2 linked regions of the Anolis sagrei genome follow. The main gene of each other region encodes a partner of the protein of the gene in region 2 in a complex. Links are inferred from orthologs where the notes say so. Each region holds a gene or a part of one and is shown on either strand. Other genes may lie near its edges. The genes, in order: GNAL and GPR161.

The links.
Region 1: the proteins of GPR161 (region 2) and GNAL are in contact, whole or in part, in a cryo-EM structure (PDB 8KH4), measured with the Homo sapiens proteins. The link is inferred for Anolis sagrei from reciprocal best matches to the Homo sapiens genes GPR161 and GNAL. Residues at the interface, in NP_001254539.1 of Homo sapiens: Arg125, Ala128, Val129, Leu130, Pro132, Met133, Tyr135, Pro136, Met137, Ile139, Ile211, Val214, Ala215, Lys218, Ala219, Lys267, Ala268, Thr271, Trp327, Asn328, Lys329, Arg332; in NP_001135811.1 of Homo sapiens: Ala41, His43, Lys203, Val204, Phe206, Phe363, Cys366, Arg367, Asp368, Ile370, Gln371, Arg372, His374, Leu375, Gln377, Tyr378, Glu379, Leu380, Leu381.

Annotation. Positions count from the first base shown.
Region 1 is NC_090024.1:65,782,982-65,799,616, reverse strand, and holds the start of GNAL (guanine nucleotide-binding protein G(olf) subunit alpha), read right to left. Parts: upstream 6,303-16,635; 5' UTR 5,892-6,302; coding exon 5,441-5,891; intron 1-5,440. UniProt on the Homo sapiens protein: Guanine nucleotide-binding protein (G protein) involved as transducer in olfactory signal transduction controlled by G protein-coupled receptors (GPCRs).
Region 2 is NC_090023.1:41,701,718-41,717,822, reverse strand, and holds the start of GPR161 (G-protein coupled receptor 161), read right to left. Parts: upstream 8,541-16,105; 5' UTR 8,511-8,540; exon of another isoform or gene 8,485-8,510; intron 8,363-8,484; exon of another isoform or gene 8,269-8,362; intron 7,544-8,268; exon of another isoform or gene 7,026-7,543; intron 6,348-7,025; 5' UTR 6,307-6,347; coding exon 5,936-6,306; intron 4,097-5,935; coding exon 3,372-4,096; intron 2,235-3,371; coding exon 2,130-2,234; intron 1,280-2,129; coding exon 1,160-1,279; intron 335-1,159; coding exon 87-334; 3' UTR 1-86. Other genes in the region: TIPRL (TIP41-like protein), read left to right, coding at 15,571-15,671, 16,070-16,105. UniProt on the Homo sapiens protein: Key negative regulator of Shh signaling, which promotes the processing of GLI3 into GLI3R during neural tube development.

The sequences.
Region 1 (16,635 bases), on a different chromosome or scaffold from region 2:
CAGGCTGGCTTTTTATTGTATTAATGTAATGTTTTCAACTGTTTATAATTATTGTTACTATGTATTTTATTGTGTTGAATTGTAGGCATCAAACGCATGCCGGTTGGAAGCCACCCTGAGTCCCCCTTAGGGGGTTGAGAAGGGCAGGGTAGAAGTACCCAAAATAAATAAATAAAATTAACCAAGGTATATCTTGCTGTATAATAAAATGTTACTCAGGCTTGTACAACAAGTAACAGTACTTAAATTCAAAGGTTCAAACATGGTAACGGTATGTATATACATCGGCCTCTTTGAATTCAGGCAGAGAACAGAGGAATAAAATAGTCTTTAAGCCTCATGCCTTAAAATGATCAGTCTTTAAAATAGTTGAAAGCCAGCACTTTCTCTTCACTGTCTTTGGGGAGATTTATAGAAGTTGTAGTTCGCCTACATTCAGTGCACACTATGAACCCAAACAATGAGGGATCTGGACCAAACTTTGTATGCATCCTCGATATACCCAAATTTGAATACTGGTGGGTTTTGAGGGGAATTGGCCTGAACATTTTGGAGTTGTGGGTACTGGGATTTATAGTTCACCTGCAATCAATGAGCATTTTGAACTCCACCTAAGATGGAATTGGACCAAACTTGGCACACAGAGCTCCCATGACCAGCAACAAATACTGGAAGTCATTCACCTTCTTTTAGGGGAGTTGTAGTTCACCTACATCCAGAGTACTGTGAACCCAAAGACCTATGGATCTGAACCAAACTTGGCACACAAACCTGATATGCTGAAATTTGTTTACTGGGGGGGTTGGGGGTTGGGGGGAACTGACCTTCCTTTTTGGGAGTTGTAGTTCACACACAACTAGAGAAACTGTGATGTCCACCAATGATGGTCCTGGACCCAACTTGGCACACAGAATCCCCATGATCAACTCAACCTACTGGAGGGGTTTGAGGGAACTGACTCACCATAGTGGGAGTTTACCCTACCGCCAGAGAGCACACTGAACCACACCAATGATGCATCTAGAGCAAAGTTGCCGCACATGTCCAGCTTTAATTACTGGAGTTTCTGGGGGTTAACCTAGCATGATGTGAGTTGCATTACAACCACAACCTTATTCATTTTGGGGGAAAAAAGGACTTCTCCCAATAACCCGGGTAATGCCGGGTCCCCAAGCTAGTGAGTTATAAAAACCATACCTCCTCTTCTAGAAAATGTATTAACAGTTGCAAATGGGCAACAAACAGAAAAGTCTTTATTGTGAATTGAAGTGCAGTTCTTTTGTTTACTAACAGCTAAACAATTTCACAGTCTGGAGGTGCCACTGGAAGTAGTATTTACTTTTAGCTCCACCTACACCATGCCTGGGGAAGGCCATCCTAAGAGACCACTTTGGGTAGCCTTTGGGTGCATCTAGATCAGGCATGGGCAAACTTTGGCCCTCTGGGTGTTTTAGATTTCAACTCCCACAATTCCTAACAGCCTACCGGCAACTACCCACAATGAATGCAGTTTGACATCACTTCAACTGTTATGGTTCAATGCTATGGAATCATGGGAGTTGTAGCCTTTAGCCTTCTCTTCCTAAGAGGGCTGGTGCCTCGCCAAGTTACACATTCCAGGATTTCACAGTGTTGATCCAAAGCAATTCAGGTGGTGTCAAACTGTATTCATTCCAGAATGGATGCATCCTCTGGCTGAACAAGAGAGCATCACCTGCTGCCTCCATCCTCTCATTTTGCTCAGCAGAGAGGTCATTTGGAGGAGAGAGAGCAGAGGAAGAGCAGGAGGTGACAAGGAAGGAGTGTGACAGAGCTGTGCCACAATGGGACTGGAATTTCCATTGTATCAAGAGCACCCATGTATTTCAAAGGGACGTTTTCCTGTTCATATTGAATGTAGATTAATTAAATGGTGAGTTCATTTTCAAATGCAAAAACCTGTTCATACCGAAATTGAAGGGCTCCCGAAAAGAAAATCTGTAAGAGCAAACAATTTAATAAGAAATATACCTCAGGCACAACATCCACAGTCGGAAGCAGAGACAAATTACAGGAAGAAGGGGAGGAAATGGGAAAGCACTGGCCCAAAAGGAAGATCTCTCTCTCTCTCTTTCACACACACACACACACACACACACTGGGGCTTGGATAACAAAACCTCCTCAATTACTTCATTGCAGTGGTCCTCAACCTCTGGGTCGCCAGGTGTTTTGGCTTACAACTCCCAGAAATCCCAGTTTACCAGCTGTTTACCAGGAACCCCCCCCCCGGTGGCGGAATGGGTTAAACTTTTCTGCCAGCAGGAATGAAAACCGACAGGTCCGAGATTTGAATCCAGGGAGAGTGTGGATGAACTCCCTCTGTCAGCTCCACTTCCCATGCTGGGACATGAGAGAAGCCTCCCACAAGGGTGGTAAAACATCAAAAACATCCCGCGTCTCCTGGGCAACGTCCTTGCAGACGGCTAATTCTCTCACACCAGAAGCAACTTGCAGTTTCTCAAGTCGCTCCTGATATAAAAAAACACCCCACAAATCAAAACATCAAAATATCCGGATGTCCTCTGGGCAACGTCCTTGCAGGCGGCCAATTCTCTCACATCAGAAGCAACTTGCAGTTTCTCAAGTCGCTCCTGACATGGAAAAAAACCCCCCACATATCAAAATATCCGGGCGTCCCCTGGGCAACGTCCTTGCAGACAGCCAATTCTCTCACACCAGAAGCGACTTGCAATTTCTCAAGTCGCTTCTGACACACACACAAAAAAAGCTGTTAGGATTTCTGAGAGTTGAAGGCCAAAACATCTGGAGACTCAAAGGTTGAGAACTACTACACTAGAGAATAAATCCAGTTGTTGCCTCCTGCAGAATTCTGGGGTTTGTAGTTTAGGGAGGAGCCTTTAACAGCCTCCCTAAACTACAAACCCCAGAATTCTCCAGGAGGCAGTAACCGGATTTAAAGTGGATTCATTCTCTAGTGTGATGAGCTCCTTGGGAGAAAGCCCCATTAAAACAGTGCCCCTTCTACAAAACAGTTTGCCTTTGGGATATTTGCCTTTGGTAATAACTAATACTAATACAGTGCTATGCTAATAATTATAATATATTGTATGCACATATAATATTGATAATAATATTGTAATACAATATAATACTAATAATACTACAATATAATTATATATTTTATATTAAATGTAATATTATTAATAATATTGCAGTATTATGGTATAGTAGAATATAGCAATATCTAAAACTAATATTGTGCTATGCTAATATTTATTTATTTACACCATAATAATATAATATGTTGTAAGCACATATAATATTAATCATTATATTGTATATACAATATAATACTAATAATAATACAATAGTATGATAATATATTTTATATTAAATGTAATATTATTAATAATATTCCAGTATAGTGGTATAGTACAATATAGCAATATCTACGACTAATATTGTGCTATGCTAATAATATAATATGTTGCAAGCACATAATATTAATCATAATATTTTATATACAATATAATACTAGTAATAATACAATAGAATAATTATATATTTTATATTAAATGTAATATTATTAAAACTATTGTAATATAGTGGTATAATACAATATAGCAATATTTAAGACTAATATTGTGCTATGCTAATAATATAATATATTGTAAGTGCATATAATATTAATCATAATATTTTATATACAATACAATAATAACATATAATAATTATATATTTTATATTAAATGTAACATTATTAATAATATTGCAGTATAGTGGTATAGTACAATATAGCAATATCTAAGACTAATATTGTGCTATGCTAATAATATAATATGTTATAAGTACATATAATATTATTGCAGTATAGTGGTATAATACAATATAGCAATATCTAAGACTAATATTTTGTTATGCTAATAATATACTATGCTGTAAGTACATATATTAATCATAATATTTTATATACAATATAATAATTATATATTTTATATTAAATGTAACATTATTAATAATATTCCAGTATAGTGGTATAGTACAATATAGCAATATCTAAGACTGATAGTGTGCTATGCTAATAATATAATATGTTGTAAGCACATATAGTATTCATCATAATATCGTATGTATAATATAATACTAATACAATATATTTTATATTAAATGTAATATTATTAAAATATTGCAATATAGTAGTATAGTGCAGTATCTAAGACTAATATTGTGTTATGCTAATAATATAATATGTTATAAGTACATATAATATTATTGCAGTATAGTGGCATAGTACAATATAGCAATATCTAAGACTAATATTTTGTTATGCTAATAATATACTATGCTGTAAGTACATATATTAATCATAATATTTTATATACAATATAATAATTATATATTTTATATTAAATGTAACATTATTAATATTATTGCAGTATAGTGGTATAGTATAATATAGCAATATCTAAGACTGATAGTGTGCTATGCTAATAATATAATATGTTGTAAGCACATAAAATAATTATCATAATATTTTATATACAATATAATAATTATATATTTTATATTAAATGTAACATTAATAATATTGCAGTAAAGTGGTATAGTACAATATAGCATATCTAAGACTAATATTGTGCTATGCTAAAAATATAATAATACAATATAATAATTATATATTTTATATTAAATGTAACATTATTAATAATATTGCAGTATAGTGGTATAGTACAATATAGCAAAATCTAAGACTAATATTGTGCTATGCTAAAAATATAATATGTTGTAAGCACATATAATATTAATCATAATATTTTATATACAACATAATACTAGTAATAATACAATATAACAATTATATATTTTATATTAAATGTAATATTATTAATAATATTGCAATATAGTGGTATAGGACAATATAGCATTATCTAATATTAATATTGTGCTATGCTAATAATATACTATGTTGTAATTACATTTAATAGTAATCATAATATTTTATATACAATATAATAATACAATAGAATAATTATGAATTTTATATTAAATGTAATATTAGTAATAACATTGCAATATAGTGGTATAGTACAATATAGCAATATATAATACTAATATAGTGATATGCTAATAGAAGTAGTATGATATAACTTGTAAGTCCCCTTCGGGGTGAGATGGGCAGCATATAAATTGTGTAAATAAATAAATATCCTAAAGCTGTGGATGCAGAACCTGCAGATACTGTGTCTGCCTGGAGTGGACCTGCTGCTGCTGACACTCAAGAGAGAGGTGTCTAGTGGGAGGGGCACCCTTTTGTTCGGAGCGCGCTGCCCCCTCGCCCCGCCCACTTTTTCGCCCCTTCCCTTCTTCTTCTTCTTTTTTTTCAAACCCGGCGCGCGCTCGGGGCTCTCCCCCTTTCCCGCGAGGCGACGCTGACGTACCCAAGAGCAGCAGGCGGTGCGTCTGCTTGTACTCGCGCTTCTGCTCCCGCAGCGCGCGGTCGATGCTCCGGCTCACGCGCCGCGCCTCCTTCTCGGCCTCGCGCTCCTCCGGGGGGCGCCCTCCTTTCTCCCGAGGAGGCGGGGGCAGGAGCTGCAGAGTGGGAGCTCCCCCCGAGGACGAGGCTGAGGCTGGCTCCGCTTTCCCCTCGCCGCCGTTCTGAAGGAGCAGCCGAGGCCCGTCCGCAGCTGCTGTTCCTCGTTTCCCGCCTTCCTCATCTCTCTTGGCTTTGGGCAGTGGGGAGGGCGGCTGAGGCGGCTCGCTCTCGGCAGCGGCGGCGGCGGCGCTGCTGCTGGAGATGGATGACCCGCCGCCGCCGCCACCGCTGCTCCCACCGCCGCCGCCTCCTCCTTCTCCGAAGAGCCGCGGGCGGAGGCTGTAGCAGAGCCCCATCTCGGGCGGTGCCTCGGGCGCTCAGCGGGGATGGCCGGGAAGGAGAAGCGTCGAGGCGAAGCAGGAGAAGGCGGAGGAGGAAGAGGTGGAGGAAGGGGAGGGCGGCGCGGCGGGGAGCAGCCCCTCCTCACAGGCCCCGGGACGCCCAGGATGCCTCTGCTGCTGCTTCTCTGCCCGCCGGCGCCGCTCCCGGGCCATGTTGCATTGTGAACGCTCGCCTGCCGCCCCCCTTCCTCTCTCCCTTCCTCTCCTTTCCTTCCTCCCTTCCTTCTCTTCTTCCTCCTCCTCGCCTCACATCACCTGACACGGACCCGCCGCTTTACCGTAAATACCCCAGCGCGAGCCCACCGCGCAGCTCGAGGGCACCACCAAAGGAAGGCTTGCTTGGGAAGGAAAAGAGGGAGGGAGGGAGGGGGAGAAGCGCGCGCCCAGGCAGAGAGGCAGAAGTACGCACGCGCAGCACACACATATACACACACACACACATTAGGACCAAGGAGGCAGACTGATGGACCGGACACCGAGGCACTTCAGGAGCCCAGGCGTGTGCACCAACATGCAGGTAGAAACTACACACACATACCCTCCAGGTATCTTAGACTTCTACTCACTCAATTCCTAATAGTCTGTAGGCTGTTAGGAATTGTGGGAGTTGAATTGTGGGAGTTGAAGTCCAAAACAACTGGAGGGCCCAAGTTGCCCGTGCCTGCAGTAGGGCCAAGGTACATGGATGGACAAACACAGAGATACTGTGTGTCCATAACACACATAAGCTGTTAGGAATTGTGACTGTTAGGAATTGTGTTAGTAAGCTGTTAGGAACTGTGGGAGCTGAAGCACAAAACACCTGGAGGGCCCAAGTTTGCCCATGCTTGCACTAAGGCCAGTGTGCATAGATGGACACACAGAGATGCTACATGTCTGCAACACACATAAGCTGTTAGGAATTGTGGGAGTTGGAGTCCATATGCAGAAGTACGCACGTGCAGCACACACACACACACATATATATATACACACACACACTTTAGGGCCAAGGCATGAAGACAGATGGACTGGACACCGAGACACGCAAACTAGGGCTTCTTCATTCAGGAGCCCATACGTGTACACCAACATGCAGGTGGAAACTATACACACATACACTAGTGCAGGCATGAGCAAACTTCGGCCTTGAGGGCCCAAGTTTGCCCATGCCTGCACTAGGGCCAATGTGCATGGATGAACACACAGGGATGCTGGATGTCTGCAACATACATAGGCCGTTAGAAATTGTGGGAGCTGGAGTCCAAAACACCTGGAGGGCCCAATTTTGCCCATGCCTGCACTAGGGCCAATGTTTGTCATATATATGTTGTGCTCCACCCTGAGACCCCTGCGGGGTAAGAAAGGTGGAATATAAATGCTTTAAATAAAAATAATTATAATCCAACAACAACAACACTTTATTAGTATTCCACCTCATCTCCCTGTGGAGACTCGGGCGGCTCACAGACACAAAAGGCAAATATTCAATGCCTTGTACTGTAATAAATAACTAATATAATTTAAATAAAAACAATTTAAATAGTATAAACAAATAGTTATAAAAGAAATAATAACTATCCTATAAAACACATTTAAACAACATTAGTAAAGGTTAAATTTAAATTTAAACAAATGCATGAGGATTTTGTTCAATACTCAAGTATATGGAAAGGCACACACACACACGTGTGTATGTTTGCAAACCACACCTAGCACATTAGGGTTTCATTCCAGTGCCAAGGTGTATGTATATATATGCACACAGAAACGTGTATGTTTATAACACACACACACTAGGGTTTGTTCAAGAGCTAAGGCATGTTCATAGATACACAAACATGTACAGAGATTGGCATGTGTGTCTACAATCCAACACACCTATATGTCTTCAGGTTTTGCTCAAGACTCAAGGTGCATATACAAACACAGATTCATGTGTATGTCTTCAAGCCAATACATGCACACACGAGGGTTTTGTTCAAGAGCCGAGGCATGTGCACCGAAGCATTGACAGAAACGTGTGTCTACAACCCACAACACACATAAACTAGGGCCAAGGTGTGTGGATCGACGTGCACAGAGACATTGTATGACTACAACACACATTTGGGTTTCATTCAGGAGCCCAGGCATGTTTGTGTGGCTCAGATTTGTGCATACATACAGAGGGCTAGGTATGGCTAGGATCCGCCATACACACAAGAGTTTAGTTCAGGAGCCAAGATGTGTGCATGGACACGCACGCACTGACAGGTGTGTGCCTCGAACCAACCAACCAACCACACACACACGTACACACAGAGACAGGCTTCCTTCCCTCATCTCGGCCCCAGGCCTTCTTTTCCCTTCCCCTCATGCCTTTTTCTATCACAGAGCCACCCCCTTTCCCGCTCTCCTTGAGAGGGGCACGCAAGGACAACCATTTCTCTTATTTCCCCCAGAGAGACCAGGAAAAAAGTCAGCGCTTGTTATTTCCCTGCTTGATTTCTCTCAAGGAGAGAGTGGGGACAACCCCTGTTTCTCTTATTTCACCGAGGCGAAAATCCTCCTCCTTCACAAACACAGCCAGGCCGAGTCAAGCTCGCCCACGCGCCGCATCTCATGTCTGTCACCAACGAGCCACCGCCGTTTATCGCCACTGCAGCATATCGCTGTCCCTCAGAGCCATTGCTTCCTTTCCTCCCCAACCCACAGTCATACCAACATTTCCCTTTGTTTTCTCTTGTTTATTATCTCGCCCTTGGAGGCCTTAGCAGTCTTTTTGGTGACTGAAATAGATGAAGACCTTCAGGAATCCTCCCTTTATGAGATGAAGACAATCTACAAGACCTTTTGGATGTGGTGCCAGCCATCTCATAAGGTGTTTTAGCAAGTGGCATTGATTAGTGGTATTTTGCTGGAAATGGGACAGATGGGGTGTCCTTTTTCCAGAATTCCAGAAAATGCTCCAAAATATTCCACATATTTTCCACATATCCGCATAGTCCTACTGAAGAGGGTTGTCCCCTTCAATACCTTTGCTTTCCAATGGTTCAGTGTACACAAACATTGGGTTGTTGTAGGTTTTTTCGGGCTATATAGCTATGGTCTAGAGGCATTCTCTCCTGACATTTCGCCTGCATCTATGGCAAGCATCCTCAGAGGTAGTGAGGTCTGTTGGAACTAGGAAAAAGGGTTTATTTATCTGTGGAATGGCCAGGGTGAGACAAAGGGCTCTTGTCTGCTGGCGCTAGGTGTGCCTTCGCAATACATTACACAAACATCGTTTCATGCATATTATTACAAAAAAGTAGTATGAAATTACAAGCTATGCGTAAAAGTCACTTTGAGTCCCCTTCGGGGGAGATAAAGCGGGGTATGAATAATAATAATAATAATAATAATAATTATTATTATTATTTTGGAGCACAATACTCCCGACCTCACAATCGTGGGGGGGGGGGGGGGAAGACAAATGTGGATCATCAATGTTGCAATTGCAGGTAACAGCAGGATTAATGAGAAGCAACTGGAAAAGCTTCGAGGATAGGAGGAATTAAAGATAGAACTGCAAAGACTAGCACAAGCCAATCAAGTTGGTCCCAGTGGTGATTGGCACACTGGGTGCAGTATCTAAAGATCTTGGCCTGCACTTAACAATTGGCGCTGATAAAATTGCCATCCGTCAACTGCAAAAGGCCACCCTACTTGGATTTGGACGCATTATTCGCCGATATATCACACAGTCCTAGACACTTGAGAAGTGTCTGACATGTGATCAAACACAATAGCCAGCATAGTGCTCTTCTTTACTGTGTATTAATCTTGTTAATGATAATAATAATATATGAAATGTAAATTAGTTTTGTGCTTAGATTTGAGTCCCACCTGCAACATATCATTATATAGTAAAGGTAAAGGTTTCCGCTTGACATTAAGTCTAGTCGTGCCCGACTCTGGGGGTTGGTGCTCATCTCAATTTCTATGCCGAAGAGCCGGCATTATCCCTAGAAACCTCCAAGGCCATGTGGCCAGCATGACGGCATGGACCACCATTACCTTCCTAACGGAGCGGTACCTATTGATCTACTCACATTTGAATGTTTTCGAACTGCTAGGCTGGCAAAAGCTGGGGCTAACAGCAAATGCTCACCCTGTTCCCCAGATTCGAATCACAATCTTTTGGTCAGCAAGTTCAGCAGCTCTGTGGTTTAACCTGCTGCATCACTGAGGACTCTCATTATATACATATATGCAAATACAGGTTTTAAAAAACCCAAACACTTCTGGTCCCAAACATTTAAAATATTTTGGAGAGAACTTGCAGCTACCTTGTGGGCTTGTAAGACATTTATCACTGGGTTTTATATAAAGGGGGAAAATAAATTTCACCTTAGATTCTTCCAGGAGCACTGTGGATTGTCATGAAGATTGCAGCACTCTTGGTTCTTTAAAACTTCAAGGCAGTGTTTCTTTTGTCCTTGGCTATTTTCTGGCAAGACCAGGTATTTACTGCAACATTTTATTCCCACCTGTAAAGGAGCCCGTTCATCCAAAAACCTATGAGAAAAAAAATCTTTTCTATTCTTTCTCGTTACTTTGTAAAAATAGTTTTTTTATTTATTTGTTTATTTTTATTTACTCTATTTATACCCCACTTTTCTTTATTCCAAAGGGGACTCAAGGCAGCTATATGTGGCATTTGTTCAGTGCTTTGCAACACATACAGACATTAAAAACTTAAAATCAGTTGAGTTAAAATTAATACAAGTTAAGCATTTAAAAATTACATTCAGTATTAAAATCACACCATCCAAAGATCATGGTCCAAGGCCAATTCCATAATCATTGCACATAAACCAATCTATATGGTCGTACAGAAGTCTCTGAAAGCCAGGTTCCAGAGCCACGTTTTTACTTTCCTTCTGAAAGTGAGGAGGGAGGGGGCTGATCTGATGTCACTAGGGAGGGAGATCCACAATTGAGGGGTCACCACTGAGAAGGCCCTGTCTCTCATTCCCACCAGTCGTGTTTGTGAAGAAGGCAGGACCGAGAGCAGGGCCATCCCAGACGATCTTAATCTCTGAGGTGGTTCATAGGGTAGGATATATTTGTACAGGTAAGCTGGGCCGGAACCGTTTAAGGCTTTGTAGGCTAAAGCCAGCACTTTGAATTATGCTCTGAAGCAGACTGGCAGCTGGCACAACAAGTGAGTTGTGTGCTCCCTGTACGCCGCTCCGGTGAGGAATCTGGCTGCCATCGTTGGACCAGTTGAAGTTTCCAAACAGTCTTCAAAGGTAGCCCCACGCAGAGTGCATTGCAGTAATTTATACATGAGTGTGGACCACTGTGGCCAAGTCTGACTTCCCAAGGTACGGGCAGAACTGGCACACAAGCTTTAATTGTGCAAAGGCTCCCCTGGCCACCATTGAGACCTGGGGTTCCAGGCTCAGTGTTGAATTTTATAGTTCTAGTGCTCTCGTATATCTGAAATGCTATATCTAAGGGGAAAAAATGGAAGAAGACAAGAGAAAACTTTCCCTTTAAGCAAGAGAACTCTCAGCAAACCATACCCCCATACCCAGATGAAGATCCATTAAATAGACACTGCCTCCTGAAAGAACAAATGGACTTGGAAGAGAAAATGATAATCAAAATGCAAGAAAATCAACTCACATTTCTTAGACCACTCTGAGAAAAGTCCTAGTTTTCTCAATAGATGTTATAAAGCAACCTGAATTCATCTATATGATGTTTTTTGTTAGATGCAAGCAGACCAAAGTGTTGCTCTCCACTCATCAAAATGAGGCCAAATTCCATTGCCATTTAAATTAACTAATTAATATAAAATCCACAAAACAGTGATGTAGTTATTAAACTAATTAAAAAAGAAGCCAGTGAAGCTTTGAAAGCTTGCGTGGTGTATTTTATCCTTTTTAGTTGGCTCAATAACAGGTGTCGCTGTTTTGTGGATTTTGTATTTTGGTGTATATAAGTGCATGGCCAACACAGCTAGTCCTGCATATATTTCATTAACATAAAATCGTTTTTGGGCGGGTGACAGAGAATAATCCATTTAATCACTCCAAAGGCCAAAATGTGATAACACCTTTTTAGGACAATCCAAAAGGCACAAAAACCTCTGTGCAAGTTTCAGAAACAAACATTTCTTCATCAAGCCAAGATGTGCAAAAAAGCCAACATGCTGGGGAAAATGGGAGGATGGAAGGGTATGATCACAGATTATCTTAACTAAACAAAAGCGAAAGTAACTTTTAGGCTGTTCTGAGTTTGGAGAGAATGGCCTTAGATCAGTGTTTCTCAACCTGGGGGTTTCAGAGGGGTTGCCAAAGACCACCAGAAAACATTTATTTCTGATGCTTTTAGGAACCCATTGGGTAGAGAAGGCTGATGATCTTTCCGGCTGTGCTTCTCTTCCTTTTTGAAACAGACAGCGAATCCTCCCACCAAAAGCCCTACTCCTCTGTGATTGGCCAGCCTCTCAGCCTAGGGGAGGGCTTTTTCAGAGAGTACAAACGGGGGAGAAGAGAGCAGGCGTGCTCGATGCATGAGAGCATGGTGCACATGTGTGTGTGTGTGTGTGTGGGGGGGGGGGAGCATGTGAGGCTAGAGGGAAGCTTGCACCAGCGAGTCCCTTCAAGGTATGGGGTTCTGTGTGGGAAGTTTGGCCCAATTCTATCATTGGTGGGATTCAGAATGCTCTTTGATTATTTGTTGTTGTTCATTCATTCAGTCGTTTCCAACTCTTTGTGACTTCATGGACCAGCCCTCGTCACCACCCCCAGCTCCTTCAAGGTCAATCCAGTCACTTTAAGGATACCATCCATCCATCTTGCCCTTGGTCGGCTCCTCTTCTTTTTTCCTTCAATTTTCCCCAGCATAATTGTCTTCTCTAAGCTTTCCTTTCTTCTCATGATGTGGCCAAAATACTTCATCTTGGCCTCTACTATTCTTCCCTCCAATGAGCAGTCAGGCTTTATTTCTTGAAGTATGGACTGGTTGGATCTTCTCGCTGTCCAAAGCACTCTCAGCACTTTCCTCCAACACCACAGTTCAAAAGCATCTATCTTCTTTCGCTCAGCCTTCCCTATGGTCCAGCTCTCACATCCGTAGGTGATTATGGAGAATACCATTGCTTTAACTATGCGGATCTTTGTTGCCAGTGTGAGGTCTCTACTCTTCACTATTTTATCAAGATTGGTCATTGCTGTCCTCCCAAGAAGTAAGCATCTCCTGATTTCCTGATTAATAGTCTTTGATTATAGGTGGACTATAAATCTCAGCAAATAAAACTCTCAAATGTCAAGGTCTATTTTCTCCAAACTCTACCAGTGTTCACATTTGGGCATGTTGAGTATTCGTGCCAAGTTTGGTCCAGATCCATTATTGTTTGAGTCCACAGTGCTCTCTAGATGTAAGTGAACTACAACTCCCAAATTCAAGGTCAATGCCCACCAAACCCTTCCAATATTTTCTGTTGCTCATGGGAGTTCTGTGTGCCAAGTTTGGTTCAATTCCATCATTGGAGTTCAGAATGCTCTTCGATTGTAGGTGAACTATAAAGCCCAGCAACTACAACTTAACCAAATAACAAAATCAATCCCCTCCCCCACAACCCCACTAGTATTCAGATTTGGGCATATCAGGTGTCAAATTTGATCCAGTGAATGAAAATACATCCTGCATGTCAAGTATTTACATTGCAATTCATAACACAATAGCAAAATTACAGATATGAAGTAGAAATGAAAATAATTTTATGGCTGGAGGTCATCACAAGCCCTATCACCGTCCTCCCCTCATGTTGATTCATGTAGGAACCAATGATACTGCAAGGCATACGTTTCAAAAGATCACAAATGATTTTCGAGCTCTAGGAGAAATGCTAAAAGAATGTAACGTACAGGTGGTCTTTTCATCCCTCCTCCCTGTTGTAAGACACGGACCCACAAGAGCCAGAAAAATAGTACAGGTCAATGACTGGCTTAGAAAATGGTGTCAGGAGGAACGCTTTGGCTTCCTCGACCATGGCCTGCTTTTCCAGGAGGATGGCCTACTGGCAAGGGATGGGGTGCATCTCACACAAGTAGGAAAACACCTTTTTGCTCACAGACTCGCAAACCTCATTAGACGCACTTTAAACTAGGTCCACCGGGGGAGGGGGACAACAGCCTTGCGAACACTACTTTACCCATAATGTCTGGGAATCGCCAGAAGGCTAAACGGAGGGCTGCACAAACACAACAAGGACCAAGTACCAAAAGCACAATAATCCCAATTAAACAGCTCAAGGGAAGATCCCAGGGGCTCACATGTCTTTACACTAATGCACAGAGCATGGGAAATAAACAAGACGAACTCCAACTTCTAGCACAACACCACAAATATGATATCATAGCCATCACTGAAACCTGGTGGGATGACTCCTATCGCTGGAATGTAGATATCGAGGGGTATAACCTCTTTCACAGAAACCGAACAAAGGGGAGAGGAGGCGGAGTAGCCTTATATGTCAAAAACTCTTATGCTGCAGAAGAAATTCAAGACAGCAATCTAGGAAACCAGCTTGAAATCATCTGGATAAGAATCAAGGGAACTGGGACTCAAAAAGATGTCGTTGTAGGCGTCTACTACAGACCCCCAAGCCAGGAAGAAGATCTTGATGAAGTCTTCTGCCAACAGTTGACCAAACAGGCACAGAAAAGAGATGTAGTAGTCATGGGCGATTTCAACTATCCCGATATTTGCTGGAAAACAAACTCGGCCAAGAGTACAAGGTCCAACAAATTCCTCGCTTGCCTTGCAGACAATTTCATGGTCCAGAAGGTAGAAGAGGCAACAAGGGGATTGGCTACTCTTGATCTCATCCTAACAAATGCGGAGGACCTGATCGATGCGGTCGAAGTGGTAGGATCCTTAGGGGCAAGTGACCATGTGCTCCTGCAATTTGAGGTACAAAGGAAAACCGAAACTAAGACAAGTCAAACCCGCATTTTGGACTTTAGGAGAGCTGATTTCCAAAAAATGAAGGAAACGCTGAGCAGCATTCCGTGGACACAGATACTAAAAGACAAGGGAGCTACGGATGGATGGGAATTTCTCAAGAGTGAAATACTCAAGGCGCAATTGCAAACCGTGCCAACAAAGAGAAAAAATAGGACAAGTGCAAAGAAGCCAGAATGGATGTCCAAAGAACTTCTAACTGTGCTAAGACACAAAAGGGACATGCACAAGAAGTGGAAAAAGAGAGAAATCACCAAAGAAGAATTCAAACAAATAGCCAACACCTGTAGGGAAAAGGTCCGCAAGGCTAAAGCAAAAAACGAGCTCAGACTTGCCAGGGACATTAAAAACAATAAAAAGGGCTTCTATTCTTATGTCAGTAGAAAAAGGAAAAACAAGGAGGCGATAGGACCTCTTCGAGGAGAAGATGGGGCAATGCTGACAGGGGATAGGGAAAAGGCAGAACTACTTAATGCCTTCTTTGCCTCAGTCTTCTCACAAAAAGAGAGTCTTCAACCTCAGCAAGATGGAGTGGGTGAGGGATTGGAGGACATCCAACCCCAAATTGGGAAAGAAGTCGTCCAGGAATACCTGGCCGCTCTTAATGAGTTCAAGTCCCCAGGGCCAGATCAACTACACCCAAGAGTATTGAAGGAACTAGCGGAAGTCATTTCGGAACCATTGGCAACCATCTTTGAGAGTTCTTGGAGAACAGGAGAAGTTCCAGCAGATTGGAGGAGGGCCAATGTGGTCCCAATCTTCAAGAAGGGAAAAAAAGACGACCCAAACAACTACCGTCCGGTCAGCCTCACGTCGATACCGGGCAAAATTCTGGAAAAGATTGTTAAGGAAGCGGTCTGCAAACACTTAGAAACAAATGCAGTCATCGCTAATAGTCAACATGGATTTATCAAAAACAAGTCATGCCAGACTAATCTGATCTCTTTCTTCGATAGAGCTACAAGCTGGGTAGATGAGGGGAATGCCGTGGATGTAGCGTACCTGGATTTCAGTAAAGCCTTCGACAAGGTCCCCCATGACCTTCTGGCAAGGAAACTAGTCCAATGTGGGCTAGGCAAAACTACAGTGAGGTGGATCTGTAATTGGTTAAGTGGACGAACACAGAGAGTGCTCACTAATGCTTCCTCTTCATCTTGGAAAGAAGTGACGAGCGGAGTGCCGCAGGGTTCCGTCCTGGGCCCGGTCCTGTTCAACATCTTTATTAATGACTTAGATGAAGGGCTAGAAGGCATGATCATCAAGTTTGCAGACGACACCAAATTGGGAGGGATAGCCAATAGTCCAGAGGACAGGAGCAGAATTCAAAACGATCTTGACAGATTAGAGAGATGGGCCAAAACTAACAAAATGAAGTTCAACAGTGACAAATGCAAGATACTCCACTTTGGCAGAAAAAATGAAATGCAAAGATACAGAATGGGGGACGCCTGGCTCGAGAGCAGTACGTGTGAAAAAGATCTTGGAGTCCTCGTGGACAACAAGTTAAACATGAGCCAACAATGTGATGTGGCGGCAAAAAAAGCCAATGGGATTTTGGCCTGCATCAATAGGAGCATAGTGTCTAGATCTAAGGAAGTAATGCTACCCCTCTATTCTGCTTTGGTTAGACCACATCTGGAATATTGTGTCCAATTCTGGACACCACAATTCAAGAGAGATATTGACAAGCTGGAATGTGTCCAGAGGAGGGCGA
Region 2 (16,105 bases):
CTAAAACTCCATGGGTTGTTTTCTTCCACAAGAGAAACAGCCCTGTATCGTCCTTAGTGGTTTTGTCTGGTCCCCACTGAGGCATTTTAAGTGTTTCCTTCCTCAATGCTCTGCAGCTGTAATCTTTGGCCAGCATGGGTCCGGCCACCGCGCCGTGCGCAGGTGCTGCTGTTTCCCATAGTTCGTACTGGGAACAAAGAACCAGCTAAAACATCTCCGCCAAACAAAGCGATCCTCACGTCAGTTTCAATAGCTTTGGCCAAGCTGGATGCATAACTGTCCAGAGACTTATGAACTTCTGCTTTTACATGAAGGACAGAATTCTTTGTTGTGTCTAAAACAAAAGAAAAGAGAGAGAGAGAGCTTTTTACCTTTGCATATTGTCTAATATTTGCGAAGAATTCAAAGACATAGCCATTAAAGTCTGGATCAATATCCAAAGGGATCTCATAGCATCTTTGAGACTAATTAAGAGAAACTGCTCTTGCTCTCAGGCCCCTTCTACACTGCCATATAACCCAGATTATCAAAGTAGATAATCCACATCTGATTTGAAGTGGATTATATGAGTCTACACTGCCATATAATCCAGTTCAAAGCAGATAATCTAGATTTTATATGGCAGTGTAAAAGGGATCATAGTCTCAAAAAGGCTACAAGGTATCATTTGTATAATACTGTAGTATTATATATTACTAGCCGTCCCCTACCACGCGTTGCTGTGACCCAGTCTGTATATATGTGTTTTTGTGTGTGTATATATGTTTGTGTATATATTTGTGTATATGTGTATATATTGTATGTGTGTTTGCATGTATGTGTGTGTATCTGGTTTTGCACATGTGTTTTAATGTATTTTTTGCGTTTTAAGTCTCTTCTGCTGTGTTTTTCAGTATTTTTATGAGTGATGGCCACTTGTTGACCTAATAGGTGTATTGTGTCCAAATTTGATGTCAGTTCGTCCAGTGTTTTTTGCATTATGTCAATCCCACAAATGAACATTACATTTTAATTTATATAGATGTATAATATATTAATATACATTACATATTTTAAAATCAGAAAAAATGTATATTATTATTATGGAGGAATTCTTTTTGCAAGTAATCCTCTACACCACCAATGCAGCTCCAAGTTAAAACATCCAACCGCAGTGTACCTTTAATATGTTCCACTTCATCTTCAAATGTCACTGAACTCCTCCGTCGATGAGGATACACACAATGTGGGTGATGCATTCCATCAGAACTATAGTCTTCAAGTAGCATGACATCTGTTCCTGAAAATAAGGGCATCATGGATTAGTTGCATGCCACAATATCTCAGTTTAAGACAGCCTTCCTAACATAATGTCCCCCAGATGTTTCACACCGTAAGTTCCTAGGTAGGCATTTCTGTCCTTGTTGGGGATGAAGGAAATTGAGCTCTGTCATCTGATGTTACAAGTTTGGCTAGATTGGTTTAAGGATTTTAAAGGAACTGACAGTATTCTAAGAGCTAGAAATACACTATGAATACCTTGAAGTTCTCAAGTTTGTATTTTTCTTGTAGTGCTAATACATGAGCAAGAGGAACCTGCAACAGAGAGGATTGGGAGGCATGCTTTACTCTTCTACTTGTTTCTCTTCAACTTGGCCTTTCAATTTCCCCCCAAAAAACTGAGCATTGAGACTGGAAGAATCGTGATACGATGCTGCTGTTAATGTGGCCTAAGGCTGTATTCGATATTTTAGCAGGCACATCACATTTCTTGCACATGTTCAATGTGAATGTTCTAATATGGAGTGGTCAAAATGTGGCCTGTGGACTTCATGCAGCTGCTGGGCCCTGAAGCCTACCATTGTTACTTCAACCTCATGGGAAAAAAATAATTTGGTACATTTTTTTGACAACGACTTCCCCAAAATGACACAGAACCAGGCATGTAGGCCTGGGGGGGGGGGGGGGGGACGGACGGACGGACGGACGATTGGGGTAACAATACAAAAGGTTTGCTAGAGTAGACCCTCCTGCACTCAGACTCAGCCCCCCCATGAAACTCAGCCCCCCTTGAATCAAAAGAAGGGCAGAATATAAATAAAGTGTATTATTATTATTATTATTATTATTATTATTATTATTATTATTACCTGAATCCTGAGAGTAGCTGAATCCTGTATCTCCTGTGCTACTGCTATGTCCTAAAGTCCTTTCACCTGCCATAAGAGCTGTGAGGTGTGGAGACAGTCCTAAATCTGCAAAAGAATTTCAGAATGAACAAACACTAAAGAAGTGACTGGATATATGACATCATCATCATTTATATCCCATTTTTATCTCTTGATTAAGACACAAAGTAACTCACAATATTAAAAAAACGAAGCAATTTAAAATCCACAACATGCAAATATTAAAATAGAATTAATCATACAAGTCAATTAAAATAACTCAAAACACTTTAAAACTGTTAAAATAATCTCATATCCTACAGCATCTTCCTCTCCTGGCGTGTTCCTTTCAAACCTGAATAAAAAGTCTTTAGCCTGCCATTGGAAGGACAGCAGGGAGGGGGCCGGGCAGGTCCATACCAGGAGATGTGATCTGTCAAAAAACCTGGACCTGTGTCATATAGGACTTTAGAGGCTACAACCCAGCACTTTGAATAGTGTCTGGAAGCAAACTGGCAGCCAATGGAGCTGTTGCAACAGAGAGGTTTTGCACTCCCTGTAGCCAGCTTTATTAACAATTTCACCAAAGCACTTTGGGCCAGTTGAAGTTTCTGAAGACTCTTCAAAGGTAGCCCATCATTTGATCCAGTCAATCACTTAGCTTGTTATACCTGCACTGGGAATGAGTTAAAATACTGACATGAAACAATCGGGGCCAGCAAACACCTTCCAACAAAGGACTCCCCCAGGCAGCAATCAACCAGGCTTTGAAGCTGCAAGGCCCTTTAAATACTAATCAAGATGGCCAACTGCAACATTCACACTTGCCTCAAGCAGACAAGAGTTCTTTCTCCCACCCTGGACATTCCACAAATATATAAACCCCACTTGCCTAGTTTCCAACAGACCTCACAACATCTGAGGATGCCTGCCATAGATGTGAGCGAAACGTCAGGAGAGAATGCTTCTGAAACATACCCATACAGCCTGGAAAATTGACAGCAACCCAACTGAAATATTGTTGGTCATTGTGGTAATGAAATGCTGAAATCATTAACCCTTGGTTTGATTCACATGACTCTTTTTATGCTCTTAAACCATACTTTCTCTTTGAGCTGCATAATGAAATGTGAATGTTTCCCATTAAACATGAGCAACCAATATTTGGATACTTATTTACCTTGACTACAGCATTGAAAGAATAAAAAGGGCACATTTGATTACCTGTAATCCTATTTGAAATACTAAATAATCTGGATGTCCTTTGTCGCTGCACAAATGATTCTCGGTAGTATCGGTCTCCGAAACACATTCCTAGCAACTCCTTGCGTACCGTTTTATTCCATAGTCCATAAATCAAAGGGTGGCAAATGGCACTTGTGAAAGATAACCATGTTGCCAATGTCTCCAAAGTTGGGGAAATGCTGTTTTTCCCCCAAAGTGCCTCAGTGGTAATAACCACCATGTAAGGCCCCCATGTGATGACGAAAGCACCAATCACAACCAAGATGGTTATCAAAGCTTTGCATTGGTTGGCAGAATAAACCACCCCTTGGAAAGCATTCCTTCGGCTTCCCGAGGAGGACGTTGAAGTACTGGAGTTCTTTCTCCCATTCCTTTGAGTATCTTCCTCTGCAATGACCACACTGCCACAATGAATCTTCCGAGCTTTAATCCGAGCCACCCGGAAGATGAATCCATAGCATATCATCATGATCATGAAGGGCAGCAATGCACACCAGATCTGCCAAAAAGCAGTGTAACCTGCCTGTTTATGCCATGCAGCCACACACATCCATTTGAACTGGTCGAACTCTAGGGAAGACCAACCAAAGAGGGGAGGAAGGCACCCAATGAGAGAATGGAGCCACACGTACACAATAGCCACCACTGCTCTGTTACCCGTAATCTTCATTGGGTAAACCATTGGGTATAGGACAGCGTAGTACCTGAAACATAGAAAAGGAGGACTGCAGTCAAACTAAGAAATATACAAGAAACAAATAATAATAGGATCAATTGCAACCTAGTTCATGCTTTGTTTGAAATCACTGCTTACTCAGAAATTGGGGGGGAGGGACGGGGACGGGGGGACGGGACAGAAGGACTTCTACAGAGAAATCATATGAAGTAAGTATCTTAAGCATTGTACAATGTCGCACACAAAGGCTAGTTGTTGGTGACACTACAGAGGTGTTCAAAATAATGGATATTTTATTGTGAGGCAGTTCCATACTGCATAGCACAAAGAACTGATTTCTTTGAATTACATGTGTTAAAATTGGATGAGGAATATGAGCATTCCTTTATTAGAGTTTCAAAATCCAAAATACTCCAAAATTGTCCGTATGGGTGGTTGAGACTGTGAACCTTTTGCTGTCTGATGGCTCAGTGTACACAAACTTTGCTTCATGTACAAAATGCTGCAAGCTCTCCAAAGCTTTAGGTGCTCTTACTGCCTATTACAGGAGAAACCAGCTGATTCCTAATCCATCTAAAACAAAGACATGTGTTTTTTCACCTTAAGAACAGGCAAGCATCTCAAGTTCTGAGGATTACCTAGGAAGGAATCCCGCTGGAGCACTGCAGCACACCAAAATACCTAGGAGTTACCTTGGACCATGCTCTGACTTACAAGAAGCACTGCTTGACTAACAAGCAAAAAGTGGACACTGGAAATAATATCATGTGAAAGCTGACTGGCACAACCTGGGAATCACAACCAGATACAGTGAAGACATCTGCCTTTGCGCTTTGCTACTCTGCTGCTGAATAAGCATGCCCAGTGTGGAACACATCTCACCACGTTAAAACAGTGGATATGGCTCTTAATGAGACATGCTGCATTATTAAAGGATGTCTACTCCCCACACCACTGGAGGAATTATACTGTTTAGCACCACCTGATATCCGCTGGGAAGTAGCAGCCAATAATGAAAGGACCAAGACAGTGACATCTCTGGCCCATCCCCTGTTTGGATATCAGCCAGCAAGCCATTGCCTTAAATGAAGAAATAGCTTTCTAAGATCAACAGAGATACTCACAGGAAAACCTCAGCAAGCAAGAGTCCAAAAGTGGCAGGCTAAAACACAGAACCTCAATCCATGGCTTATATCAAATTAGAGTCTCTTCCCTGGGCACACAGAAGACCATGCAACTTGGAAGGTGCTGAACAGACTGCGCTCTGGCACCACAAGATGCAGAACCACACTTAAGAAATGGGGCTACAAAGTGGAGTCCGTGACATGTGAGTGTGGAGAAAAGCAAACCACAGACCACCTACTACAATGCAGTCTGAGCCCTGCAACATGCACAATGGATGACCTTCCCACAACGACACTAGAGGCACTCCAAGTGGCCAGCTCTTGGTCAAAAGGCATTTAGCATAATGCCAAATTGTTAACTTTGTTTGTGTTTTTAAATACATTACAATACAAATATTTCAAAATCTGAATAATCTGAAATACTTCTGGTTCCAAGTGTGTCAGATACGGGAGACTTAACCTGTACTTATAACATATGAATAGCCTGCTGCATCAGGCCAATGATTAGACTTCCTATTTTTTTTACAGCAGCTTCTGAGACCTAACAGAAGACATATCAGTTCAATCATGCTTTGCTACCTGCACATAGGCATGAAAAAGGAAACAGGTCCTCATAATATTTAGTTTAAGGACATGGTTATACTGGGTTTTTTGAATCACATTATCTCTCAGAATGGGTGGATAAGACAGAGACTTCATTGTTGCTCACTGACACGTGGCTTCTATTGAAAAACATTGCGTACCGGTCGATAGCAATGAGTCCGAGCGTGAGCATACTGGCAGAGCTGATCAGCATATACAGCAAGGCTGAAAAATTGCACCAAACGACGCCAAAGATCCATTCTCGCTTAATGGAACTGGTCACAACGAAAGGAAGCACAAGTACCGAAAGGAGGAAGTTGGATAGAGTCAGGCTGAACACAAACTTGTTGCTGAGTGTGAGGAGGTATGACCTTTTGTAGAGGGTCAGGACAATGACCAGGTTTCCTAAACAGATGAAGATGGCAATGACAATAATTGCAATTGACTCTGTAATTCTGCCTACTCCATTCTCTGGAAGTGTAAGGTTCCCTGAGGCGTTCTTGTGGCTGAGAGAGGAGTTGATGCTCATCATCAGAGCGTACGGAAGATGGACAGCCAGGACATGCTGGGCACCTGGAAAAAGAAGAAAAACACAGGTATCATTCGAATACTGTGCTTTTCTAAATGATATAATTTTACATTCTATCTTTAATTGGTTTAAAATCATTACATATCATCAAGTGCAGCCAGTGGGGAAGGGCTCTTTGGTGTATTCTAGATCAATGCTTCATTGATACATGATATGTGCGATCAGCAATCCATCCACATACTCCCCCCTCCCCCCACACACATCACTTCATTGCCAGTTAAATATGCCCATCGCTCATAGGACTCTTTTCATACTACCCTGCTATGATTCTATTTTTTTTTTTTTGCCTTCCTCTGGGACTCTGAGATTTGCAGCTTGAAGAGACATGAGCACAATCCCACTGAAAACTCTAAAAGCTTCTCCCGAAACTGCAAAACTTGGGATTCCACAGGATGGAACAGTAGTTGTTAAAGTGGAATCCCAGCATTACAACTGTATGGTGTGAAATGACCCTTGGTTTCCATGCCCCTTGTAATCTTAGTTGCATCTCCTATGGACCTCGCACAAGTTTCAAACTTAAACTTTGGTGCTCAGAACTGGACACAAGCCAAATAAAGTGTCCTTTCTCTTGATCTGGACACTATAATTTGGTGGATGCAGCCTAGAACTCCTTCAGCTGTTCTTTTCCCTGTTGCTGGATATCACAGGGACGGTTGACTCACTATTTGTAATGTCTGGAAGACTGGAAGCCTGATTCCATGGCACAGAGACAAGTGGTTTCAAACTGCACTCATTCTACAACAAGGATGGGCAAACTTGGGTTAAGTGGCTGAGGGGGAAAAGGAAAGGGCCTGAGGCTGTTAGGAACTGTGGGAATTGAAGTCCAAAACACCCGGAGGACCCAAGTTTGCCCATGCCTGTTCTACAATGTAGATGCGCCCTGAGAAAAGCTGGCCTTTATTTCAAGGGCCTCATCTTCCTTTCCTCTCCCTTCTGCTTCCTTCTCCTCCTTTTTCCTTCTTCCTCCTTCCTCTCTCCCCTAACTTTTCCTTTTTCCTCACTTCCTCTTTTCATTCTTTCTCTCTCTTCCTTTTCTCTCTTTTTCTCAATCTTTGTCCCTTTTCTTTCTTTCTCCATTCCCTTTCTCTGCCTCCCTTTCTCTCTATCTTCCTCTTCTTTTCTATTTCTTTCTCTTTCTTCCTTCTCCCTCTCTTCCTCCCTTCTCTGTAGTTCTCTCCATCTCCCCTTTCTCTCCCTCTTTTTCTCTCTTCCTCTCTTTCTTTCTCCCTTCCCTTTCTCTCTTCCTCTCTTTCCAATCCTTCTCTCTCATTTCCTCCCTTCTGTCTTTCTCTCTTGCTCTCCATTCCCTTTCTCTCCTTCTCTCCCTCCCTTCCTATCCTCCTCTCTTTCCTTCTTTCTCTCCCTTCTTTCTCTCTTCTCTTTCTTTCTCCCTTTCTCTCTATCTTCCTTCCTTCCTTTCTCTCTCTCCCTTCTCTCCCTTCCCTTTCTCTCTATCTTCCAATCTTTCTTTCTCTCCCTTCCTTCTCTCTTCCTTCCTTCTCTGTCTTTCTCTCCTTCACTCCCTTCCCTTTCTCTTTATCTTCCTCCCTTCTCTCTCTCTCTCTCAATCTCTCTCTCCCCCTTCTTCCTCTCGCTCTCCCTTTCTTCTCTGTTTTTCTCTCCCTTCCCTTTCTATCTTCCCCGCTTCTCTTTCTTTCTTTCTCTCTTCTCTCCCTCCCTTCTCTTTCTCTCCTTCTCTTCCTTCCCCCTTTTCTTCTCCTTCTTCCTCCTCTTCTTCGGGGTCGGACACAGGCAGCCCCTTCTCCTTCCCTCCCGAAACGGGAGGCCCTCTCTTCCCGCGAGTCTCCCCTCCAGAGGTGGGGCATGGCGCTCCATTCCGGGCGAACCCCTTCCTTCCTCCTCGGTGCCCAGCCTCCCCCTTGGGCGCCGTGCGAGGCCACTCACCGTGTGTCCCGGGGGCTGCCTTGCTGCGGGAGCGGGCTCTCTTCCCGGGACCCCCCACCAGCGCCGCCGCCCACGGAGCTCCCCCAGCGCCGCCCCTTCCCCCTCTTCCCCTCCTCCGCTCCTTTGTTCTCCTCTCCCTCCTTCTCCCCCTCAACTTTGGGCCTCTTCGGCGGGCCGAGAAGAGGATCCCGATGCCTTTCCTCCTTCCTCCCTTGCCTTGCAAGGCTCCTCCACCCGCTCACTTGGCGGGAGGCTCGTCTTCTTCGCCTTGCTGGGAAAAGTCGGCCGCCAATTCCAAAGCAGCCGACTTAGGCAGCATTTCCTCCCCCGGCATTCCTGGCCCTTTTACACCTCATCTCCCTTTCTGGCCCTCCTTCATTTTTGCTGTTCTTCTCCAAGGCCAGCTCTTTCTCGGCCGAAGGAATGGCCATGGGAGGGCAGGAGGCAGCGCTTGGGATTCAGCGGCAGCCCGCGAGTCCAGTGGCATGAGGAACACACTTCAGTTTCCATCCCCACTGGCAGAGTTTCCTGCCATCTGGGTGGTGCCAGAATGAGAACACCCCCCCCCCCCCCACATTATATGCCCAGCATCCCTTACCTGGAATTCCACATAAGATGGCTGAGGGCTAATCTACACCAGTGGCTCCCTACCTATCAATTATATCTATCTATATAAAACCTACAACCCTTCAGGTCATCCCAGATGTGGTCTCTGCCAGCCAGGGCCAGAACTTTTTCCATCAGTTAGGGGGCATCCGGCTTCATTCCTATTTTCTCTGCTACCCAATTTACACTAGAGGTTCTTGACATCTCTGGAAAACCAGGGCCAGGAGAACGTACAAGTTGATCAATTTTGTCATTGTCCAAGAAACATCCCAAAAGGCCTCCTGAGTGTCCCCCTGCTGGGTCCTCTCTTCCTCTTCCTTCCTTGGTGTCGACGTGGCCCCCGAATCCTGGTTTCCAGCTCCATTACAGAGACCACTGTTTCCTCAGGTTGGAGCACCAAGTCCGGCCAGTCAAAGACGATGGCCACTTTTTGCCAGGTCTCTTTGGTCGAAGGGCAGTCTGTGATGAAATGTTCTCCATAAACACCTCCAAGGTCATGTGCCCAGCATGACTGCATGGAGCACAGTTACCTTTCAGCAGAAGTGGTACCTACTGATCTAATCATATTTTGCATATTTTCAAATTGCTAGGTTGACAGAAGCTGGGCCTAACAGTGGGAGCTCCCCTCACTCTCTGGATTCAAACCCCCAGCCTTTCAGTTAGCAAGTTCAGCAACTCAGTGGTTTAACCCGCTGCGCCACCAAGGGGCCTATATATATATATACTGTATGTGTGTGTGTGTGTTATATTACTCAAAGCAGCTGAAAAACATGGTCATAAGACATTACAACTATTTGTTATAATGCTGTGTGGCCAGCATTAGCCTCAGGTTATAAAACTGATTTAATCCTTACATTAGCTCTCCATTCTTTGTCTTCAGGAGGAAAGAGAGTGCAATGTATGACAGGTGGGGACCACTGATGCAACTTTACTTCAGTCCACAAGAAGTGCACATCAACAGGTAAAAGAATTACAGTGCTCTCCCTTATTCTATCCCATTGGCCTCTCACAGTAGTAAATGTTACTGAACATATTGGAGCTGCAATTTTTCTACAGTCATTACAATCAGACTGTAAGAATAAACATTCCACAGGTTTCCTTTTTGTTTACGATTGGTTTAATGTAGAGCAGATGGAAAGAAGCCTGAAGGAAAAAGGAGGTATATGTGTAGTCACACAGTGCTAGCTGCAGGGAAAGAAATCACTATTTTTATCTATGAAATGTTGACAAGTATGATAAACATGTCTTCTACCCCAAAACCCAGACCATAACACTTTCGCTCAGTGTTTGAATATGCTGCCATTGGATTGGTAAAGGAAATCTGGATTATTATTGTGTATGTAAAGATGGTCAGATCACTGGCAAGGAAAGAACAGTTAAAAGCCACACATTTTGGAATACCTCCTTTTGTTACCATAACTTAGAACTAACCCATTGAAGCATGGCATTTAAAACCAAATTATTATTGGCTCAAAAGTCTATTCTACTGGGTGCTAACAATAGAATTTGTTTATCATCTTGCTTGGTTTCCTCTATAAACTTTTAAGAAATAACTAATTTGAACATGTGATCCTTTCCTCTCCTTAATCCCAAGTAACATGATCTATATAGCTAACTTTAAACAACATTTCACTCTCTGTTTAGATTACATGATGTATTAGAAAGGCAGAACAAAGATTGTATCTGGGAAGAACTTCAGAAAGAAGGGTACAGTTGTCGAGTCACAATGCCCCTCCTCCCAAAAGATTAATAGTTTATCAAGTTTATGAAATTTCTTAACTTCTTTGAACTTTGCTGGTGCGAAGCGGTGGAGATCGGAAATGGACCAACAGCAGCTTCACCCCCACAAAGACTTTATAGTTCCAACCCTTTAATAAATTATGCCTATTTTTTCCTGACTTTGCTGTTGTTGTTTATTCGTTCAGTCACTTCTGACTCTTAATGACCTCATGGACCGGCCCACGCCAGAGCTCCCTGTCGGCCATCAACACCCCCAACTCCTTCAGAGTCAAGCCAGTCACTTTTCCCCTGACTATCTGTGTAAATTGTATCTTTCTGTATACAATATCTATTTCTTTTATATAAAATGTATACTTTTCCATATAAAATGTAGCAAGATGTAGCCAGAGAAAAATCACCTCTATATAACTCCAAAGAGCCACTTCCCAAACACTGGAAGGTTGGGCAAATCCCTCTGGCTGTTTTGCAGACAGGCAATCATCAGAATCAATTGTTCATGTATACAGAGATAGTTTCCCATGTCAGCCCAGATAAGCCAAGAGGTATTTGTCTGATTAAATGGTTCACTTGAGGCTGAGAGATTGCTGACCATGGAAAGAGATGCTTAGAGTGTGTACATTCAACCCATTCTGTTTGTTTCCATCTATAATTGTCCTCATGATGCACTTTCCCCCTGTCCTTAATAAAGCCAAACCTCACTGCTCCCCTTTCTTGGACTCCTCCCTCACAAATATACTTTTTATTCCTATCTCACCCAGGGTTTTAACGTTTTAACATTTTATCTCGTGCATTTGGCCCACCCTTTCTATTTGATTTTATTATGTTATTTTGCACTGTTTATTTTAATTTGTTACTTTATTTATTTTGTTTTGATGTAACTTTTTCTGTAGTTTTGTGTCCAACTTTGCTGTATTATTTTTGAGCTTGGCCTGATGTTAGCCGCCCCGCGTCCCCTTTGGGGAGATGGTGGCGGGGTATAAATAAAGATGATGATGATGATTATTACATTTGTTAAACCTATTGACTGACAGCCCAAACTGTGAATGCCCAAGATCATCACCTTTGTTTTGGGAATCTCATGTCTTTGACTGCAGAAACCCCTATCTTTGTCAAACACAGAACTGGACTATTGAGCCAATCAAGAGCTTAGTATCATTTATTTAAACATTGTCTTCACAAATGACGTCTCCTACCAGGGGACACCCCACCAGCTGTTTGGTTCTTCGGCTGACCAACTCCAAGCTGTCATCTCCCCATGATAGGGAATCACAACCTGAAGGCAGCATCAGCAGCACCTTCAGCCATTCAGGTCTCAGATCCAGACCAGCCCCTCTCTCAGCCAATCAGGGAAAGGAGTGGGAATTTTGAATAGTTGTCAAACCTTATAAGATCTCTTGCATTCTCTGTATGTTTTACGCTTCTACACTTTGAAGCATCTGCTTGTATTTGCATCCCTTTTGGCTGAACTGGATAAACCTCTGTGTTTTGTCTTCAACCTGGTGAGTATTTCTCTGTCCTGGCACATTTGGTTTAGCTTGCACTAGCCGGGCACAGATCATTTTATCAGCAGACCTAGTTATCCACAACACAGTTGGTTAGATAATGCACTGATAATAATGGAATAGACTCTTGAAACCAGCTAAATCTGATGTTGTGGTGATGATGTAAATTACCGAGGCCCAGAGATCCAGAAAGGGGTCTGAGTCTAACTATATTGATTTTTTTTTGTCTTTCTCAGTAGGAGTAAAGCTTCTCCCCCACCCACCAATTTGTGGGTTTGACTTTTGCAGGTTGAATTCTTCATGGATTTGATTAAAATGATCTCCCTAGAAACCGCTAGATATTTTGCTGTAGTCTGTGGTCAGCCTCTAGCAGACACTAACCACAGAGTTATGTAGGAAGAACAACAGCTGGTTTCTTTCCCACTTTCTTTCTCTCCACCCTCTCTTCAGAAATAGACTGAAGAGCACAAATGGTTCATCAACCAAATAATCTAACACTACTTATATTCAGCCTTTTGCATTTGCAGGTTTAACATTGTGGATTCATTTGTGGGTTGATATGGTCTCTCTAGGATTCTCTAGGGCAGTGGTTCCCAAACTTTTTTTGGCCATGCCCCATGTAAGCATCTCTAAAATCCTGATTCCTCCCCACCTGCAACCCCCGGTGGCATATAATTCTTATTTTTTTTTAAAAAAAAGTGAATTCTTGTTTATGCGGAGGAAGTCTAAAAGGCCATTAAACAAACTTCCAAAGGACATCACATCCATGAAAGAAAGAAAAAAATAAAAGAGCAAAAGGACAGTTGAAGTACTGAGGAAGTAATCAAAGAGAAATAATTTAAATAATAAAAAATAATAACAACATGAAAAAAGCAAATAAAGCTTCAGAACCTATAATAGAAACTGAAATGCATAAATATAAAATAATTTAATGGAAGCTTTTTCTGTAATACTTTGATCATTTTAATTATTATACAAAATACTTTTTGTATTGCTTGCAATGTTAAAAGAAGAAGAGTGGGATTTTTGGAATGAAAGTTGTCTCCCTTTTCTGAGCTTATGACCTCTTTAGTTCAGTGTATGCTCTTCACTCTCCTCTCTAGTGGGCTTTCCCCCTCTCCATTGTCAACAGCTGACCACTGTGTACATTCTCATTTTAATTTTAAAATTGCAAATGTCACAATATATGTTTATATACTGTATATAAAGCCCCTAGAACCATAATAAATGCAAATAACTGTTAATAACTCATTCCTGAATTGTCACCCTTAAAATCAAATTGCCCCCTTGTATGGGACATGCCTCACATTGGGAACCAGGGACTTCATCACACTCCAGCATAGATCCACTTTAAATTCGGTTTCTGCCTCCTGCAGAATTCTGGGGCTTGTAGTTTTGGGAGGGACCTTTAAACTACTCAGTCAAAGAGGTCCCAGGGCTCACTAAACTAGAAACTCCAAAATTCTGCAGGAGGCTGAAACTGGATTTAAAGTGGATCCATGCTCTTGTGATGAGGGACTTTAGGGCCTCCAATGTTATTCTTTTAGAAGTTCGCCAGTGTCACATTGGAGGACCAAGAAATTCCTAGAGAGGTTTTGGGTTGTTGTAGGTTTTTTCGGGCTATATGGGCATGTTCTAGAGGCATTCTCTCCTGACATTTTGCCTGCATCTATGGCAAGCATCCTCAGAGGTAGTGAGGTCTGAGGATGTTTGCCACAGATGCAGGTGAAACGTCAGGAGAGAATGCCTCTAGAACATGGTCATATAGCCCGAAAAACCTACAACAACCCAGTGATTCCGTCCATGAAAGCCTTCGGCAATACATTCCTAGAGAGGTGTTCTCTCTGGCAAAAAGTACAATTTCTTTAATTTGCGGTTTTTAGATGTCCGCAGTGGTCCTGTGGCCTCAATTCCCATGAAAGTGGAGGGCCTACTATGTAAGTCATGAACTTTTAATTGGAATGCAAATATAGGTACACTCATACTGTTATGTATATACAATCATAACAGAATTAATATAATTGGCAATACAAAGTGGACAAAAAGTTACACATCTGTATCAGATAAAGTGTTATGGTTTTGTGTGCTATTTGTTACTCATGAGCAATAGTGTTTCTTTTTCTGTAACGGAGAAGTCTCTTAAAACTGCAAACTATGAAATGAAAGGAGCATTCTACATCATAGGTCACAACCTCTGAGGATGCTTGCCATAGATGCAGGCGAAATGTCAGGAGAGAATGCTTCTGGGACTCATAGAATCAAAGAGTTGGAAGAGACTTCATGGGCCATCCAGTCCAACCCCCTGTGAAGAAGCAGGAATATTGCATTCAAATCACCCCTGACAGATGGCCACCCAGCCTCTGTTTAAAAGCCTCCAAAGAAGGAGCCTCCACCACACTCCGGGGCAGAGAGTTCCACTGCTGAACGGTTCTCAAAGTCAGGAAGTTCTTCCTCATGTTCAGGTGGAATCTCCTCTGGACATGGCCATACAGCCCAAAAAACTTACAGCAACCCAATCTAAGGGCCCTTCCACACAGCCCTATATCCCAGAATATCAAAGCAGAAAATCATAGAATCATAGAGTTGGAAGAGACTTCATGGGCCATCCAGTCCAACCCCCTGCCAAGAAGCAGGAATATTGCATTCACAGCACCCCTGACAGATGGCCATCTAGCTTCTGTTTAAAAACCTCCAAAGAAGGAGCCTCCACCACACTCCGGGGCAGAGAGTTCCACTCCTGAACGGCTCTCACAGTCAGGAAATATACATGCCTATCATATCTCCTCTCAGCCTTGTCTTCTTCAGGCTAAACAGGCTAAATCCCACCAATAATACTCTACATAAAAATTACAATCCATGTTTCATAATACAGTAAATTTAGTTGTTGTAAAGCTGTCCCACCAATAAAAATAAAAATTGCAATCCATGTTTCATAATAAGTAAAATTAATTTTATAATTCAGTAAAGTTGTTATATTGATTTGTCTTTATTCACTTTTACTATATTTTAAAATGAATATCGTGCCAATACAGGAGGTTTAGGCAAACCTGGGCCCTCCAGGTGTTTTGGACTTCAACTCTCACCATTCCTAACAGCCTCAGGCCCCTTCCTTTTCCCCCTCAGCCGCTTAAAAGGAAAAGGAAAGGGCCTGAGGCTGTTAGGAATGGTGGGAGTTGAAGTCCAAAACACCTGGAGGGCCCAGGTTTGCCTATACCTGCCAGAGACCCACATTGGAGAACTTAAGAGAGGCCCCTGCAAAAGAGTACCGGAAGTGCCTATAGGGAAGCGTAAGCATGTTTCCGCTCATCAGGTGGTGGGACAGGAAGCGGAATGACGTCACCTGTTTGCTTCCGGTGGCGGTGGTGCTAAGGGGGGAAGTGGGGGCTGGCTTCCGGGCGAGGAGCCCCTTCTCACCCTCCACTCGCTTCTCGCTCTCCTCGCTGCCACCGCCACCATGATGCCTGTCTTTAAGAGCAGCCGGCGGGACTTCGCTTTCGGCCCTTGGAAGCTCACGGCCGCCCGGACGCACATTATCAAGTCCTCCGAGTCCGAGAGGTGAGAGGGGCGCTAGGAAGGGCCGCCGCCCCCCTCTGGCTTCCTCACATCCCGCAAAGGGGCCTTCCTCGGTTACCCTTTGTGATTGTTCTATTTGAGGAATGCGAATGACCCTTAATGCTCCAAATAACACATTCTGTACACCATGCGTGTGTCTACACTGCACAATTAATGCGGTTTGACTTCCTCTAATTGCTGTGAAATCCTGGGAGTGGCTGCTTTGCAAGGTCTTTCGCCTTCTCTGCCAAAGAGCGCTTGTGCCTAACCAAACTACAACTGGTGGGACACCAGCACTCTGCGGCAGGCATGGTCAAACTTGTGGGTGTTTTGGACTTCAATTCCCACAATTCCTAACCGCTGGTACTGAGAAATTAAACCGCCTCCTTGTTTTCATCCAGGTTAGCTGAAGAACTACACATGCCATGTGTTCCAGA